Linked DNA regions of Coturnix japonica. The main gene of each other region encodes a partner of the protein of the gene in region 2 in a complex. Links are inferred from orthologs where the notes say so. Each region holds a gene or a part of one and is shown on either strand. Other genes may lie near its edges.

Region 1 (3,474 bases), on a different chromosome or scaffold from region 2:
TTGGTTTATCTTTATCCCTCCTGTTTTGCAATGTCAATACGTGGGGAGGGGAGGAGGGCAGAAGCTCCACACCCCAAAGGATCATTAGCCCAGAGCTGAGATCCGCTGTGTCCCCACTCACCTCCCCTGTGGGTAAAGCATCCCACTGACCCCTCCATCCCATAACAACACAGGCCAGATGTGCTCCCCATGCCGGACAAAGCCATAGTGCTGTCCCTGCTGGGCAGTGGTGAGGACACAGGTGGCCACACATGATACCACCAGCACAGGGCACCCAGCACCAGCGGGTCTCTCTTAATGGTGTCCTAATGGTGTCTTAATGGTGTCCCCCACCATAGCAGGGACCCTGCTCACCTCTGCCTGGGGAAGTTGAGCCTCCATCCCTCTCCCTACATGTCTATGTGCCCCATTTCAAGGCCGTTCTCCCCTCGCTGGCCCGAAGTTGACCCGTAGTTCTGATTTGCTCCGGCAAAAGAGTTTGTTGTGCTGGAAAGGAAAACAAGCAATTCATCATTTCTATCTCTTTTCTCTGGTTCTTGGGTGTTTGAATGGGGGCACAGAGGGTCAGCTCCATATTGGAGCTTTGTGGGGGTCTCAGCAGCTCCAAACAGGCAGAACTCAGCAGAAAAAAGAAAATACAACCCATTTTATTGTACAAACTCAAAACGACACAGCACACAACAGTCCCTTCTGCCAGCCCAGGGCACCACGGGGGCAGTCACTGAGGGATGGGGTGGTGGTGGGGTGTTGTGGTGTCTCCAGCAGCACCGGGGGCAGCTCTGGGGGGTCTGTGGTGGCATCCAAAGCAGTCCAGGGGGGTCTGTGTTGGTCTCAGGCAAACCCTGAAGGTTCTGGATGGCACTGGGGGTGTCTGGGTCTCAGCAGCAGTCCTGGGTGTCTCCAGGTAAGGCCTGAGGGGTCTCCAGCACCACCATGGGCAGCTCCGGGGGTCTCCGGTGGCACCGAGGGCGGCTCCAGCGGCTCCCCGTTGCCGTCACGCCCCGTCCCGGCGGCGCGCAGCCCGCAGCAGGCAGTGCCGTAACACGGGGTAGATGCGCTGACACCCCTCCACGCCGAGGCGCAGCGCCGCCCCCCAGCCCTCGGTCTCCCCGCCGCGCCCCCCGCCCAGCACGGCCGACAGCTGGTTGAGGGCGGGCAGCAGCGCCACCGTCAGGCGGGCGGCGGCCCCGCGCTCCTCGTCCTCCCCGGGCTGCAGCAGCCACGGCCCCGCCGCGGACCCGTGGCCGTGTGGGAGCGGGGGGCGGCACAGCGCGCAGCCCACGGCCAGGTCGTACATCTCCACCCCGGCGTCGGCCAACGCCAGCGACGCGGCGCTGATGGCGGCGGCCAGCGCGGACCCCCCGTCCTGCAGCAGCAGCGCGCTGACCGCCAGCCGAGCCCGCGGGTACCGGGACAGCCGCACCGCCGGCTCCAGCGCCTCCCGCAGCGCCGCCGCCGCCTCCCGCTCCGCCTCCCGCTCCGCCGCCCCCCCGGGCCTGGGCCGGGCCCCGCGGGCGCAGAACGGAGCCCGTCGGAAGTCGCACACGAGCCGCCCCGCTGCCACCGCCCCGCCCGGCTCTGCCGCCTCCCTCGGTCCCCAGGCGGCGCACAGCACCTTCGTGCCGCCGCTCAGCTCCACGTACGCCGAACCCTCCGCCTGGCTCAGCAGCCCCGCGCGGGCGAACAGCGGCCGCAGCGCGCAGGGATCCCGCGGCGCCGCCCCGCTCTGCTCAGCCTCATCATCCCCATCCCGGAGCTGCGCTGCCCAAAGCTCCGGCGGCTGCGAGTCCTCCGGGCCGTGCAGGCGGCGGTGATCGAGCGGCATGGCGAGGGGGGAAGCGGGACGGATGGAGGAGGAGCCCCGGCTGCTCCGCTCCGCCCTCGGCCCCGCGGGGCAGCTCCGCAGCGCCCGAGCTCGTACAGCGGCCGAGAGGGGAACGTGGGGAACCATAGAGCGGCGAGGAGCTGCCCTGATGTGGGGTGTCAGCAGCCCTGAGGGACAACGCCTTCTTGATTCTATCGTTTATTGGATGCGGGGCTCATACAGCAAACCAAAGGGTAATTAGGGGGGATGTGGGGTTCCCATCAGTTTTTCAGCTCCCCGAGGTGCAGCCTGGCAAAGTCCGTGGCCAGGCGCAGGGCCTCGTGCAGGCAGCCCACGTTCTTGCCTGTGGCTTGTGCTGAGACGTCCTTCCCTCCTCCTTTGCCGTCCATCAGAGCAGAGACCTCCTGCACCCACTGGTTGGCCTTCAGGCCCTTCTGTGCTGTCTCCTGGAGGGGAAAAGAAGGGACAAACAGAGCTCGACCTGCAGCCTGGTGGCGGTGAGGAAGGATATAAGCCCCTTTCCCTCCTGCTCCATCCCCCATAACAACACAAAGCACAGAGCTGTGGCTCTCAATCACCGCAGTGACTGCCGGCCCCCATCGCATGAGATTCATCTTCCTGCCACTGCAGCACAGACTGACCTGGGGCACCTGGCACAGGCAGGTGATCCTGCCCGCTTCGTTGTCCACAGCAAAGAGCATGGTGGCAGTCTGGGGGGAATGAGTCTTGAAGAGCTTCAGTGATTCATTCAGGGCCTGGAGGAAGAACAAGGAACATCAATTGGCTCACCTGCCCCTGGGCTTTACCCCCAGGCAGCACTTCAGCCCAGCTGTGAGCCTCACATAAACGGGGACAGCCCTGGAGGGAGGGCAGGGGTATGAAGTGGCACCAGATCAGCTTGGTTGTTCCAACACTGAAACCTGCCCTTCAGCACTGTGACTCCTTTGGCTCACAGCACCATCTCCAACAGCAAACAGAGCCCACCCAACTGCCCCTCAGGTACAAGGAGAGATCAGACCTTCCCCATACCTTCGCTGAGGCTCCGTTTTCCATTTCCATGATGACTAGTGGCTGGTTAGGGTGACTCTCAATGACTTGCTTTGTCTTTTCCAATACCTGAGGACAGACAGCACTGCTGTTCAGGTGTCTGCACAATGCACTTGGACACAAGAACCACCCAGCCCAGAGCTCCCTGCACAAAGAGACCCCCCCCCCCCACATACACACACACACACAGCCAGGGCTCACTCGTTTCTGGATGTCAGCTTTGCTTGCACGGTCCAGGTCATCCATAACCTTCTTCAGTGCTTTAACAGCTTCTCTCAGCTCATCTTTCTGCCACTGTGGGATAACAGCAGTAGCCAGCATCTGCATAACAAGACAAGGGAGGGTTAAAGGTGGAGGTGGCCATGGCAGAATGCAGGGAATGCTGCATTGCATTAATGAGCCTCAAAGTGGCTTGAGCTCCCCTGCCCTGCTATCCAATAAGCTCAGGTGTGAGTTGTAGCGCCCAAAGAACACAGGGCTGAGACCTCTGAGCTCGTGTCCTACAGAGCGTTGGCACAAGACTTCAATTCACCAGCAATTAACCCCAAGAGAGTAACCAAAGAGGCCCCAGAGGAGGAGACAGAGAAGCAGGAATCAATTTG
Region 2 (4,287 bases):
ACAAAGCTGAAATGATGTTTCTGAACATTCAGCACAGCTAAGACAGTAAAATAAACTGCTGCTGTTACTCAGACACTAAGCAGGTTAGGGCAGTGAAGGTTCACATTTCAGATCTGATTAGGTTTTTTATTTCAAATGTGAGAAGCAAAGTGTATATGCATACTGCTCCATTACCTTTTCTTCTACTATACTAACCAGTCAACAAAGAATTCCAGATAACCTTCATCTGGTTTCTCTAACTTCGGTGTCCCCATTTCAGCTTTTACACCAACCAAGATATCAGTGTGTCCCTGTTAAAACAAAAATACATCACACAGTTAGAACTATGGGCAAAATACACTCAGTTGAGATGCCTACAGCATGCAGACACTACCATCTATTCTGTTGTCTTTGCTAATTGCTCTACTAGAGAATTGCAGAACAGAAAGGCTTTAGGAGAACAATTCTGTGCCCACATATCAGCTTTCTTTGTGTATATAAGACAATCTTAATAGCCATACCTTTTTATCATTGCAGTTCTGGATCAGTTATTTCTGCAGAATGTTTATAATACCGCCAAAAAATAATTGTTTTCTTTACAGTCAACACATGCCAGAAGTAGTTTTGCTTCACTGTAAAGGAGCAGAATTATTTTTTCCAGTGACAGGCACAACAGCATCTAACACCCAATAGCAGATTAGTTCAGACTGAAGGCCTTTCAGGCACTCCACTATAAATTTAGCTCAAATGCATTAAGCTAACTTGAATTATTCATATATCTTGTCATTATTTCCTCAACCTATCATGTCAATTAGAGCTAAGCACATACATACATGCATAGGTCGCTCTGAAAGTAACGTCTTCTATTTATTTCCACAGAAAATATAAGAGGTGCAAAGAGCAAAATAACATTATTTGATTGAACAGATTCTCAGCAACAAAACCTTATTAACATAGTCACCATCACTCTGCATTTTCACCACTGATGAACAAGAGACTGCATGCTGCACTCATAAAAATCTGCACCAGCAGAGGTAACCCACTGTTTCATAGCTATGACTGCACCACTGCTAGGAAAGCATTGCCTGAGCAGTCTATTTTCCATCAAGCCCAAAGAGGTGGAAGACAGAAGGCACCAAATCCACACTACACAGTGGGTGCTGTAGGACAGTCCAGACAAATTTGGCAACGTGCTCCAGGGTCCTGAAACTGGTATGGGACTTGGTGTTATCGCATTGCAAGAGAAAAGGTGTCTTCTTCTCTGCCTGACTCTGGAAGCTCAAGCCTTCAGCTTAGTCAGTGTCATGATGTAGCAGTCAGAGCTGATGGTTTGTCTGGGTTTCAGGAAATCCAAAAGGATCACTTCTTTCCTATCCCAAGAGACAGTTCACAATACTTTGCCTGCTGAAGGCTATCTCTTGAACTTTTTCTTCAATAGGGAATCACATGTCACCACTCCATGGACTGCGTTTTCTCACCGGTGCGTAGTGGTGACACCACATCTCATCATCACTACTGATGTGATCCTGGAAACTGTTGCCTTCAGCCTTGTATTGGTTCAAGAGATCCTGACAAACTTATAACTTTGAATCCCCCCTGTCGTGCAAGTGGTAGAAGTGCCGCTCTGCTACACAGGAGGCTCGAATCCCAGGGGTTGGACTCGATGATCTCTAAGGTCCCTTCCAACCCACACCAGACTGTGATACTGTGTGATATACAGTATTCTTTCTGCTCCTCTGTGAACACTTATGGGAGCCACCTGGCATGCATTTTCTGATATTCCAACATTGTCACCATCATTTCTAATGCAATGAAGCTGATATTCAGCTCTGTACACAGTTCCCTGGTCATAATCTGCTGATTTGCACAAATGAGCTGATCAAGACAGTTCATTTCATCGTATGACAGCCGTGCATGGTCATCTAGAACATGCCTTGTATTTCACAAGGTGAAATGCACCACCACACAGAATCACAGAATTACCTGGGTTGAAAGGGACCTCAAGGATCATGTAGTTCCAACCCCCCTGCCTAGCAGGGCCACCAAACATACGCCTTCACTAGATCAGGTTGCCCAGGGCCCCGCTTCACTGTGCTCACGTTCGCTGTTGGGTCTCCATCAGCATTCAGCATGCGACAATGAATGCCAACAGGGACAATCGTTTCAACACGACATAATTCAATACCACATCTTTGCATTTCCAAGTCAGACACCATTCTGTCAGACTGCACATCTGCTGTCATCAGTCACAGGGCAACACAATAGAATGAAATATTGTTGGGAAGGTTCAACCTCTACTACCACACCACCAACATCTGCTTATGATACTGTGGGCCAACATCATAAAATAGGAGGGGCTGTTTTTGGAGCAACATATTAGACACATATGAGGAGACACACATGGACGTATTTACAAGCAGCAATTATTTATCATAAGCCAAGCGAAACAAGCCAGTTTTATCAGCAATGTAGACGACTCCTGAGCCGTTCACCTACCAGCTTCACTCTCGCAGATCCACTCGTGTTGGACACCACATCTGTCTCTACTTCTGCACACCTGTAATCTTCACAGCCACGGCCATCCACACGGAGGTCCTCCTAAACACGACAACCAACGTAATCGCGAACATAAGGAACCTGTGCTTTTCAAGCTTCCCGTGCCGAATACATCACCAAAGATGACAAGCAACTATTCCCTACCTGGACGCCGTGTATGATGTACATCTTCTCCGCGTCGCTCAGCACTACGGACGCCATGACACCCCGCGCGCTGCAGAGCACTTCCGCTTCCGCTTCTCGGAAGGAGGCGAGCTCTGCGCCTGCGCACCGCCGCACTTCCGCAGGCGGGAAATGGCGCCGGTCGCCTCAGCGCCTTGTACAGGGCGGTGGGGTCGGCCCTGTGTGTGTGTGTGCCCTTAGCTGAGGTAAAAGTAACCTGAGGGTTGTGTGCCCCGGTGGCGCAGTGGTAGGAACGCCGCCTTGCAACACTGGGGCCCGGAGTTCGAATCCCCCCTGTGGCACAAGTGGTACAAGTGCCGCTCTGCTACAGAGAGGCTCGAATCCCGGGGGTTGGACTCGATGATCTCTAAGGTCCCTTCCAACCCACACGAGACTATGAGACTATGAGGGTACCCGAGTATGAAGCTGAGGTTCTCCTGGCTGTCAGACCGCGGAGAAATGCGGAGTTTTACCCGAGACATCGTGCTGGTGGTGTGGGAATGCGATTAAAGGCTCCAGTTTGACACTGCGTTGTAATTGAGGGGTGTTTATTGTGGCAGCTTCCATTAGCTCACGTTGTAGGTGCCATACGCTCAGCACGGCTCTCCTGTATGTTGGTTGGTGCGCTGAGTGGTGCCCACTAAGGGCACAGTGAGGTTTGGGATGTTAGGGGGAAGTTCTTCACCAGGAGAGTGGTTAGGCCCTGGAACAGGCTGCCCAGGGAGGTTGTGGATGCCCCGTCCTTGGAGGTGTTCAAGACCAGGTTGGATGGGGCCCTGGGCAACCTGATCTAGTAAATGTGTATGTTTGGTGGCCCTGCCAGGCAGGGGGGTTGGAACTACATGATCCTTGAGGTTCCTTCCAACCCGGGTCATTCTGTGAGGTTATGGCGCTGGTGCTGCCTGGCTCCCAGCTGCACCCACAGCGCTCAGACACAAGGAGGGGCAGCTTTCCTTCCTTCATTCCTTCCTCCATGTCTGCCATCCATCCCAGACTGGAAGCGCAGCCAGCAGCTCCTCGCTGCTCACAGGATGCGGTGTCGTTTATAACAAGGACAAAGCGATGCCTTCTGCCTCATTTTAGCCAGCTGGAAGTGGAAAAAGACCGTGATGGAGCCGCCCGGCACGCAGGGGCTCACGCTGCCCGGTGAAGCTGCAAGCAGCGCAGGCAGCGGCCGCTAAATCCGCAGGTGCCGGCTGCTGCTGCCCGGCTTTGCGGTGCCGAGGCCCGGGGCGGGGCCGCCGGCCGCCAGCCGCCACTTCCTGGTTCCTCCGTTGCCGCCCCACCTCCTCGCCGGGATCGCGTAAGGGGACGGCGCTTGGGGAGGGGGGGGGAACCGCGCTCCGCCGGGCCCAGTGCCGCGCGCGGGGCGCCCGCTCCGGCGGGGCGGATGGGAGGTGGCGGCGGGCGGCGGCCTGCGGGTAGGTGGCGGGGCAGAGCCACGGGACCGCGGGGCTACGGGTGGGGTGGGGTGAGGTAAAGGGGGATGCGGCCGGGAGCGCCTTCCAGAGCGGGCCGTGACATGGGCTGCGGGGAGGCCCACGTTGCCCTCCCTCCCCTCTTTCCCTCCTGCCCCACCGCGGCGTGTCC
Region 3 (3,644 bases), on a different chromosome or scaffold from region 2:
AACATCCGCTGCCGGCTCCTCATCCCTGCTGCTCCGAACCTGCGGGGAAGGGGCTGGATGTGGGCAGATGCTGGGTGTGGGCAGATGCTGGGTGTGGGCAGATGCTGGGTGTGGGCAGATGCTGGATGTGGGCAGATGCTGGATGTGGGCAGATGCTGGGTGTGGGCAGGCCAGGTGTCAGGCTGCACGGCGGGGCAGGGCTCCTTCACCCTGCGCAGGATGCGGAGCAGAAGCGGGTGGCGCTGAGCCCAAAGGGATGCTGCGCTCCCGAGCTCTGTGTGCGGAGGGGGGACACGGGGCTGTCAGGCTCCGCGCCTGACCTCGGGTGCTCCCTGCTCCCATCTCGTCTTTCCCACAGGGGAGGGGGTTGGGGAGCGACACGGAGAGTCTGACTCAGAGGAAACTGGAGACGGTGAGGGCACATGGGGCGAAGAGCTCATTCCAGGGCAGGGAACGCTCCAAACCCACGGGGATCCCCTCAGCAGCCTTTGCTAATGGATTCGGGAGTGAGGGAGCCCGCACAAAACACGTGCCCTGTTCCTCACACCCAGCAGCACCTGGACGGCTCTTCCTTTTGCCTCAGCCCCGGACCAAGCTGCAGAGCCCATCGCACACCGACCCCAGCAGCTCCCCGGACAGTGCCACGCTGCGCTGTGCCAGGCCGAGCTGCGGGCACTCGGACAGCAGAGGGACGCACCGAGCCCTCGTCCTCCCGCTGAGCCTCTTATCCCACCCGAGGGCCGCGATGGGAGCGAGGAGGAACCCGAGCCGGGCCCGAAATGAGGCAAACGATCCGCCGGGTCAGGGCCCCCGGGCCATCAATATTAACGGCACGGCCGGCCCGGGATGCGGCCAAGGCACGAACCGAGCGCTCCGCTCGGCACCGCGCCAGGCAGCGGCACGGCCCAGCGCCAACACACGGCCCGGGAACACAGAGCGAGCGGCCGGCACACGGCGGGACCGGCACAACCGGCACAACCGGCACACGGCGGGACCGGGACACAGCGGTACCGGCACGGCCGCACGGCGGGTGATGAGCTCCCGCTCCCGGTGACCCCGTGCTGGGCTCAGGGCTGCCCTCGGCCGTGCCAGCCGGTCACGCCGCCCCAAGGCCGCGGGCCCGCCCCGCTCCGTGCCCCGCTCCCCGCCCCGCCGCACCCATCCCGTTCCCGTTCCCGTTCCCGCTCGCACCTGCCGCCCGCTCCCCGCCGCCCGCCGCCATGCCCGGTTCCCGCCGCCCTCACGGCACCGGGCAGCGCCCGCCGCCCCGCGCCTGCGCACTGAGCACAGCGGGCAGGGCCGGCACGAGGCGCCGCACTACGACTCCCAGCGGGCCGCGCGACACCGCCGCTCCCTGAGGTTAAAAGAGAACCAATAGGTATGCCGCTTACATCGCGGCCCCGTCGCTGAGAGCCAATAGGAGGAGGGTTCTTTGCGGGCTCACGCGCGACGCTGAACATGGCGCCACCAGCTCGGTACTGCGTGCCCGGTAAGTGCGGGGCGGGCGGCGGGGGGGGACGGGCCGGTAAGTGCGGGACCGGTGCTGAGCGAGCGACCCGCAGGAGAACGGCTGTGCGGAGCGGACGGAAACGCGGCGGGGAGCGGCACCTACGTGCGGAACGGCAACATCTTCGCTGCGCTGAGCGGATGCGTGCGGCGCTGCGAGCGGGACGGGGCGGTGAGAGCACGGCGGGGAACGGGAAACGGGGCGGGACCGGGCTGAGACCGGGTGTGTGTGTGTGTCTATGTGTGTGTGTGTGTGTCTGTGTGTGTGTCTGTGTGTCTATCCATCTGTCTGTGCCCCGCAGCTGCCCGTGGTGTCGGTGGTGCGGGATGCAGAGGCGCAGCTGCTGCCCGACGTGGGCTCCGTGGTGACGTGTAAGGTGGGTGCCGCTGTCCCCACGTGTCCCCGCGGCCGGGGCCGTGTGCTCGGCTCACGGAGCTCCGGACGGACGGCGGCGGACACTCAAGGAGCCGCCCGGCCCGGCCCGGCCCACGCTGCGCGGGCGCTGAGTGCCCGCCGCCCGTTGGTGCAGGTGTGCAGCATCAACTCCCGGTTTGCCAAAGTGAACATCCTGTACGTTGGCTCCACGCCGCTGAAATCCACCTTCCGTGGCACCATACGGTAGGGAAAGGGCAGGGGGCACACTGCGCGGTGCCTGCCTGCTGCGAGGACAGCTGCGTGGATGCATCTAGCGAGGCCTGGCTGCCGTCCAGGGAGGCCGGGGCAGCTCCTCCTGGCTCTCTCTGGTATCACATTCCTGTGTCTGCTTTTCTAGGAGGGAAGACATTCGAGCTACTGAAAAGGATAAGGTCAGCGGGGCACTGCTGGGTACAGTGCTGTTACAGCTTCCCCCTGTCCAGCTCCCCTCGTGCTGCTGCCCATGGGGTGCCTATCGAGCAGTACCTGCGCTCTCCATGCACTCCTGTCCACTCCCTCCCACGTAGGTAGAAGTCTACAAGAGTTTCCGCCCCGGTGACATAGTCCTGGCCAAAGTCGTATCCTTTCCCATCGCAGTGGGAGGGCCCACGGGCCTGGAGGGTTTGTGCTGGGCTATAGAGGCAGGGAGTCTTTCCCTTAACACAAACCTAACCAGATCTCGCTGGGGGATGCACAGTCCAACTACCTGCTGAGCACGGCAGAGAACGAGCTGGGTGTGGTGGTGGCACGCAGCGACGCAGGTAGGAATCCTCATCTCCATGTGAGGAACAGCCAGTGCAGCATGGGGAGCAAACACCCTCCTTTCCTCCCACTGCTGAGCCTCAGGGGCTGCACGAGGAGGCTTTGGGCTGCTGGGGCTGGGCAGTGTGACAAAGCAGGAAGGGATCTGCTAACTGAGGATGCCTGCAGGGGTGCAGATGGTGCCTATCAGCTGGTGTGAGATGCAGTGCCCACAGACGCACACCAAGGACTTCCGTAAGGTGGCCCGTGTGCAGCCTCAGTTCCTGCAGACATAGCAGCCTCCTCAGGGGTACAGGGACCCCAGGAAAGAGAGCTGCTATGGTGGGGTCCAGCATCTTCCATACAGCAGGATGGGTTTTGTATTTGTGCTGTAAGTAATAAATAAACGTGGTTTTTTTGAGAGCTCTGTGTTCTGCTCAGTCACTGCCCGCAGGGGTTGCTCTGGCTGCCTGTAGCCCTTCTGCTCTGGAGCTGCTGGAGGGGGCTGTTTCTCCCATCAGTGTGGGAGTGAGAAAGTCTGTTCCTGTCCTGGGGAGCAGCGAGGCTTTGAGGCTTAGTGGTACATAGCACCATCTATGGCTGCTGTGCTCATCCCCAGGATGGCTTATCACCTCAGGCCATACATGCCCTTTGTTAGGCAGAGGTGTGGCACAGCCCAGAGCCCATAAAGCACTGCAGTGAATCACTCTTTGCAGCGAGGATTGCAGAACTGTGCTTTGCTGTGCAGTCTGAGCACCTTCTGCACCCACAAGTCAGCAGCAACTTGCGCATCACAGACACGTGGTGGTGCAGGAAATGCGGTGCTAGGCAAAGTGGGAGCTCCACGTGGCGCAGTGGCACAAGGAAACGCTGACATTTAATTATTGCATATTCATCTTTTATTGAACTGGAACAAGACAACTGCTACCGCTGGACAGTTAGATTGACCCAGTGCAAGCCCAGACTCACTACAGCAGCAGTG

Evidence for each region.
Region 1: EXOSC7 (region 2) and EXOSC6 share a complex: the UniProt entries of both Homo sapiens proteins name them as parts of the RNA exosome core complex. The link is inferred for Coturnix japonica from reciprocal best matches to the Homo sapiens genes EXOSC7 and EXOSC6.
Region 3: EXOSC7 (region 2) and EXOSC1 share a complex: the UniProt entries of both Homo sapiens proteins name them as parts of the RNA exosome core complex. The link is inferred for Coturnix japonica from reciprocal best matches to the Homo sapiens genes EXOSC7 and EXOSC1.

Annotation. Positions count from the first base shown.
Region 1 is NC_029526.1:1,395,373-1,398,846, forward strand, and holds EXOSC6 (exosome complex component MTR3), read right to left. Parts: upstream 1,973-3,474; 5' UTR 1,952-1,972; coding exon 995-1,951; 3' UTR 627-994; downstream 1-626. Other genes in the region: AARS1 (alanine--tRNA ligase, cytoplasmic), read right to left, coding at 2,086-2,271, 2,467-2,580, 2,855-2,941, 3,074-3,193. UniProt on the Homo sapiens protein: Non-catalytic component of the RNA exosome complex which has 3'->5' exoribonuclease activity and participates in a multitude of cellular RNA processing and degradation events.
Region 2 is NC_029517.1:39,619,630-39,623,916, forward strand, and holds the start of EXOSC7 (exosome complex component RRP42), read right to left. Parts: upstream 2,813-4,287; 5' UTR 2,737-2,812; coding exon 2,680-2,736; intron 2,578-2,679; coding exon 2,476-2,577; intron 291-2,475; coding exon 196-290; intron 1-195. UniProt on the Homo sapiens protein: Non-catalytic component of the RNA exosome complex which has 3'->5' exoribonuclease activity and participates in a multitude of cellular RNA processing and degradation events.
Region 3 is NC_029521.1:19,502,233-19,505,876, forward strand, and holds EXOSC1 (exosome complex component CSL4), read left to right. Parts: upstream 1-1,458; coding exon 1,459-1,489; intron 1,490-1,562; coding exon 1,563-1,678; intron 1,679-1,808; coding exon 1,809-1,883; intron 1,884-2,036; coding exon 2,037-2,125; intron 2,126-2,279; coding exon 2,280-2,313; intron 2,314-2,448; coding exon 2,449-2,499; intron 2,500-2,597; coding exon 2,598-2,682; intron 2,683-2,851; coding exon 2,852-2,958; 3' UTR 2,959-3,085; downstream 3,086-3,644. Other genes in the region: palmitoyltransferase ZDHHC16, read right to left, coding at 1-39, 1,192-1,460. UniProt on the Homo sapiens protein: Non-catalytic component of the RNA exosome complex which has 3'->5' exoribonuclease activity and participates in a multitude of cellular RNA processing and degradation events.